Linked DNA regions of Bombyx mori. The protein of the gene in region 1 interacts with the protein of each later gene in a pairwise test. Links are inferred from orthologs where the notes say so. Each region holds a gene or a part of one and is shown in the gene's direction. Other genes may lie near its edges.

What was found. The genes of interacting proteins can lie anywhere in the genome.
Region 2: the proteins of developmentally-regulated GTP-binding protein 2 (region 1) and RWD domain-containing protein 1 interact in binary tests that used the Homo sapiens proteins (3 or more experiments, as listed by UniProt). The link is inferred for Bombyx mori from reciprocal best matches to the Homo sapiens genes DRG2 and RWDD1.

The regions. Positions count from the first base shown.
Region 1 is NC_085123.1:13,400,570-13,402,929, forward strand, and holds part of developmentally-regulated GTP-binding protein 2, read left to right. Parts: intron 1-396; coding exon 397-504; intron 505-1,140; coding exon 1,141-1,298; intron 1,299-1,763; coding exon 1,764-1,890; intron 1,891-2,360. UniProt on the Homo sapiens protein: Catalyzes the conversion of GTP to GDP through hydrolysis of the gamma-phosphate bond in GTP. When hydroxylated at C-3 of 'Lys-21' by JMJD7, may bind to RNA and play a role in translation.
Region 2 is NC_085115.1:12,171,129-12,175,509, forward strand, and holds the start of RWD domain-containing protein 1, read left to right. Parts: upstream 1-1,431; 5' UTR 1,432-1,577; coding exon 1,578-1,647; intron 1,648-1,841; coding exon 1,842-2,044; intron 2,045-3,199; coding exon 3,200-3,343; intron 3,344-4,381. UniProt on the Homo sapiens protein: Protects DRG2 from proteolytic degradation.

The DNA.
Region 1 (2,360 bases):
ACTTACTATAGATGTATATTATTATTTCTGTACATTCAAAGAGTATTTTTAAAAGTTCAGTTTTTTATTCAGTTGTTAATTTGTAATTTTTATGTTAAGAAATTTGTCAGTTTTGATATTTCTAGAATTTTTATGTTTACCCAAAAATTGGAAGTATATGACTCCGAAGATTAATTCAATCCCTAGTCTCGGGTTTATTAGTTCTATGACAATATAATGTAGAAATTAGGTAAGTTCAAGATGTGAAATCTAAGTCTAGTTAATTTGAACACAACTCTAATTGTAATTTTCAAACTGGAGTTAAAATTATGAGTCATTGTCCACATAAACAGTAGTAATAACATAAAAATTTGTCAGAAACTATAATTACCTCAAAAATAATTCATTAACTTACAGGTGAAAAAAGGTGGTGGCTTATCATTTAACTCAACTTGTCAACTAACTAAAATTGATGAGAAAATGGTGCAAATGATCTTACATGAATACAAGATATTTAATGCTGAGGTATGTAGTATATAGTCATTACCTACAAAGGCAAACCTAGGTATAAGACCATTAGACCTCCATTCGATATTCAACATAGCCCAGTCTTGATTATGCATATTGGAAACCCAGGACACAAGAACAAATACAAACTAAACCCTGAATCTTTAATAAAAGTTCAGACTCTGACTGAGAATAGTTTCAATAGTTACTAAACACTGACTAAATACGGGCATCAAAGTTTGATCCCCTGTTTTCCTACTGAAACTGGTTTCACTTGGATTTGATGTATTTACATATTGAAGAGTGTGCTTATGCCAGTAATATGTATGCCACTCTTGACAGCTGTTGCAATTTTGAAACTAGGCAAATACTATTATGTGAAATGTGTTCAAAGGAGGGGTAAATATTGGTAACCTGACAAATCAGTGGACGGCTGCCAGCTAATTTACTGTATAAGACAAAAGCTGGTGGTACCTATTCATATGGGCACGCAATGTACGCTCTACTAATCACAATTGGACTATTTTTTAAAAATTCTTAGCCCATTTCATTTTATTACGCAATAATGTCCTTCGTAGTAGTTAGGTGTAGTACAAAATTTGTGTTTTTAGAATATTATTTAGTACCCGCAGTTTTAATAAAAAAAAAACGCAGGTTCTGTTCCGTGAAGACTGCACACCGGACGAGCTCATAGATGTTATACTCGCGAACAGAGTGTACCTGCCCTGCCTCTACGTCTACAACAAGATAGATCAGATCTCCATCCAGGAAGTCGACAGGATAGCGAGACAACCGCATTCTGTAGTCGTTAGGTGAGCTGTACTTTGCTTAGATTTAGTTCTTATTCAACCAAAATACCAATAAGAAGACAAAGTTAGCAACTAGAAACGATTGAGAGAACTTAATAATTTGTTTTATCTCCAAATTGTATAAAATATTCAAGGTTCATATTCAAAATTTAATTAAGACTTTTTAAATTCATGTGGTTTGTATCTATTTCTTGTATCTTTTATCATTGTATCTATCTCTTTGTCACTGATCTCGTGAACGACTTTAAACTTATTCAGTTCTCTTTTTATTTTATTTATGTAGGTCTCTCTCTATGGTTTAAATTTACAATTCACTTATGATTTTAATCAAACTCGCCCCTCCGTTAATTGGATATTGTAGGTGATGCTGTGATTCGTTTCCAGAATTTTGTATATTAAGAGCAGAATAACTGCTGGGCCTACTAGTAAATCACAAAAAATATTTATTCGTTTTGTATTTTATTCCAGTTGTAATATGAAACTGAATTTGGATTATCTGCTAGAGATACTCTGGGAATATCTGTCTCTTATCAGGGTATATACCAAAAAGCCTGGACAGCCCCCAGATTTTGATGATGGACTTATCCTGAGAAAGGTGAATTGTTTAATTATTTCCTATTTATTTTACATGATAACTGAGTAGGTTTTTTTTACACCTGGAGTGTTGATATAATATAGTTTACATACTTAAAAAAAATTAACCACAGAGTTGAAATTTTCCCTTTTTGTTCGTGCCGGGTGCCAAACCTCCTACGGGGTCACCGCACCTAGTGGTCATGTGGGACTTCACGATCTGCAAGTGTTGGGAGCAGACTGCGGGCCCAAGGAATTTTAGGACCAAGTTCAAATTTCCCCTAACTTAACATTTTATCATCATCCTTGGGTGAGCCTTAGCCTGGTCCAGTATGTCTCTCCAGACTGCTCTGTTCAGGGCTTTCTCCTTCCAGTTCCTGAAACTGATAACTTTGAGGTCGCGCTCCACGCCATCCAACCATCGGAGTTTGGGTCTGTCACGACTTCTGCGGCCCTCTGGTTTGCCATAGAGCAGTTGTATTGGCCTTCTGG
Region 2 (4,381 bases), on another chromosome or scaffold:
TTTCGATTTAATAATTATATAAATTATGAACATTACATTGCGCTTCATAATTTTATTATGGCTTTACCTATTTCATCATAGCGTTGTGCTTAATAATTTCACCAGCAGATAACAAACACGTCTTCATAATACAATGCTGTATGTTTTCCAAAGGCACATCAATATTACGGTTTTACATAACAATAAAACCGATATTATGAGCCGAGAAGGAAAACATACAGCATTGCAGGAAGTTCTTCCTGGTGAAGACTATGAAGATCAAAGATGGCTGCGCTTCCTTTATACTTGCTGGCAGCACCTAGCGGCTAAAGATGGAACTAAATTGACTGTCAATGGTTGGACATAGACAAGGAATTTAAGCTAAGTACACACTGCTTCTTCATAATACAATGCTGTATGTTTTCCTTCTCGGCACATAATATCGGTTTTATTGTTATGTAAAACCGTAATATTCGCCAGACTAGACATCACAGTAAGGCCAATAAAAACGGATAAAGATTTTCAGTAGGTACATAAAATAATTATTGGTTGAGGAATTCGTTAATAAACTTTTATTTTATTTGGTAGAAGTTTATGTAGTAAAGAAACTGTGAAATTTGAATACGAATTAATCGCATTGCTTGAAACAAGCAGGTTCTGTGTCTTATTTTGTAAGTTATGGAACTTGATATATTTAAAATTTATGGAAGGTTCTAACCACCATATTTTAAATCATTTACCCTGTTTTCCAATTACATAGCATAATGCGACATAATGCGACTCAGTGGCGCACAATGCCGAATTATGCTTGAGAGTGCTCGATTGTGGGAAGCGTTGCTGTAGTTGGAACAATCAACGTTGAGCATTATGCCGCATAATGCGCTCTAGTGCTATAATTGGAAAACAGGGTTAGTGTGTATTGTCTGTGTTTCTGTTATTATGCTGACGATAGGGAGGTGGTGAGGAAGAGGTAGCTAAGGTAACTATAGGTAAGGTTTTTTTAAAGGATTTTGTGACCTGGTAACTAAGACCTCCATGTCATGACTTATTTTATATTCATATTTGAAACGTGATAATATGGAGTGAAAGGAAATGAAATGAAGATGATTACTTTGAGACATTAATCAACTGGGATGATATGAAATGATATGGGATGAAATAAATAATCTCATTATTATAGGTGAGGTATTTTTTTAAGGGATTTCATGACCTGGTAACTAAGACCTTTAAGTCATGTCTTATTTTAATTTATATACATATTCTTATTTTTATGAAAAGTGATAATATGGAGTGAAATGAAATGAAATGAAGATGATCAATTCGAGACATTAATCAAATGGGATGAAATGAAAGGAAATCAGATGATATGGAATGAAATATAGTCTCAGTAATTTAAGTGAGGTAGAAAAAATTAAACACAGATTAGCGAAACGTGGCAAGACTTCTTAAATGTCTTTTATTTCATTAATATACTCTATGTCTTCTTTTCAACCATTCTCAATTTAAAGAGTAAAGTAAACTTTAAAATTGTTTGAAGTAAAAACGTGAAAAATTTGTAAATTAAAAATACATACTCATTAATAATTGTGACCTAAATCATGGATTACAATTACGAACAAACTAGTGAAGTGGAAGCATTAGATTCTATTTATTTCGGCGATATGGCAGGTTAGATCATTTGAAAAAAGGAATAAAATTTTATGTTTATATTTGTTGAAATTAAAGAAGCAAGATTTAAGTCCAAAACTGTGTACCGATTCTTTTATTTAAAAGCAATGCATATTTAAAACAGTTTTATGGAAAAAGTTAATCATGCATGCTTCACTTTTATTAATTAATGATCATGTTATTTTATTTTGTAGTGATAGAAACAAAACCATTTCACAAATTTAGTATACCTATAAAGTCAGAGGGGTTTGATGATGGAGAGGGGTTGGCCTGCCATCTAGTATTTACTTACACATCAAAGTATCCTGATGAATTACCCATTATTGAAATTGACAATGAGGAGAATTTCGACAATATTGTTGATAAAGAGGAACTTCTCACACATCTTGCTGAACAGGTAAAGATAGTATATACATAATTTGTATATATTTAATTGAATTGTTATTTTACAATGAACATTATCAGTTTTTGTTGGTGTGCATGATTTAAAACCTAGATATTTTATGTTTGTCAAGTCTACATATAATAAAGTACATACATACATTATTATTTAATATCTAATAAATAAGTCTTCATTTTTAGTTTTTGACAAACAGATTAACATTGATTACCTACTGTATTAAATTTTTGAGACTTGATAAAAATGTATATCACATTAAAATTCTAATCTCAAATATATTATTTTATGATTTCCAAAATTTTTTATGTTTAGTGCTCATGGACGACTATGACGAAAATCATATTATCAAAGTATGTTAAGTATTACAGAACCAGCGGCATGCTTTCAACCAGTTGCCCATAGTTATTACTTGTACAGGAAGCAGTACTTGTAAAACATGGTTTTGATAGTAATATAGTAATATTGTAGTACTGTGTAAATGGTACAATAATTGTGAATAATTGTTAATCTGTTTTAACACAATTTCAAATAATTGATATTGGATTGAAAATATGAATTTTTGTTTGAATTGATCTCGATTTAGGAAAATCCCCAGCTCTACTGATACTGTAAAATCTTTCATTTAATTTTTAGTAATGACATATATGTTTTGTTTTATGTAAATGGAATTGATAACATTTTGAAAATTAAAGTGAAAAGTAAAAAAAAAGTCCTTTTATTACAAGTTTATATGTGCATAATAAATTCAATTTGTGGTAAATCGAATCTTGGACCTTAAATTTAGATAGATAATGACTGAAAAAATCAAGAAGCAAAAATATTAATAAAATTTATTTTACTATATTATTGTTGTTGTGTCATTAAGGATAAGAATGTATAAGCAGTCTGACTATACTAGAACTCAAATTCTGCAGGCAGATATAAATTTAACCACAGAAATACATACTGAATAAGAGCTCACAAACAACAGAAATCAAAAGAAATGAAATTGCTTTTAGGCACTAAAATCATAATAATATTGAATAAAAAAAAATTGAAAAAAACAAAACCACTAGATTCATCTTAGACCTTTTAATTTCTGTCGTTTACTTTAGAACGTCTAAGCTTGATTATTTATGGCTTATTTCCTTGTTTTCCATTAATGTGTTTCAGGGTAAAGAAAACTTGGGAATGGTCATGGTATTCACATTAGTGTCAGCTGGACAAGAGTGGCTTAATGAGACTTGGGATAAAGTTAAGAAAGAGCGTGAAGAAAGGATACTAGCCAAACAAAAGGCAGATGAAGAGGCAGAACTGGTAACTTAATATTTATCATTTTTAAGGTTCATTGGCTAGCTATTGGAATATTAATTCTTATTCATTAATTATTATTATTTTATGGATTTTTTCTGAAATAAATGTTTTATTATTATTAAGTCTTATCATACCCATATCAGTTTGGTATCACTACATAGTATAAAACAAAGTCGCTTTCTCTGTCCCTATATCTGTCTGTCCCTATGTATGCTTAAATCTTTAAAACTACGCAATGGATTTTGATGCGTTTTTTTTTAATAGATAGAGTGATTGAAGAGGAAGGTTTATATGTATAATAACATCCATTAAATAGTGGAGATATAAATAATAAATTACAGTTTCCGAAGCGAAGCGAGGGCGGATCACTAGTTGTATATAAAATTCAGAAATAAGATTCTAAAAGCTCTTAGACAATAATATGTAAAAAATTGGAATAAAACTCACTAGAAGTCACCCATAATTATTATTCTCTATCATACAACTTAGGGATGAAAAAAAAAATTCTTAAAATATTCACTCTGATATGTATTTATTAAAACTGCTTCCAAAGAATTGTCATTGTGATTTGTTATAATAGCCGGCAAACTTCTTGAGCATTTGTTGACGTAGTGGGGGTAAGTTTGCGCATGGTACACTCACGTGCAAAAACCTTATTTACTCTGCATCATAATGCAATTAAATTATTAAAATCAACATATGTATTTATTTATATATTTATTAGAACATCAACAAAAAATATAGGTTAATAATTATAATAATTTAATTTTGGGGTAAAATAGATATTCCTTCTATTAAGTCAAAACTAGAGCTGTTGCCAGGTCTTCGTTCAGTTGAAGCGAAGCTGGTATTTGTAATTTTTTTTCGTTATCATAATCTTGACCATTATCATCATCACTGTTTTCATCACCCGAGTCGCCATCATCGTGATAAGTCGACATAGGGCTCATCGGTGTAGTTTACGACTCGGTCGGTTCGATCTTCTTTTTTGTCTATAATTAATTATTTTTTGAAGATATTCGATTCGTAGTAATCGAATGC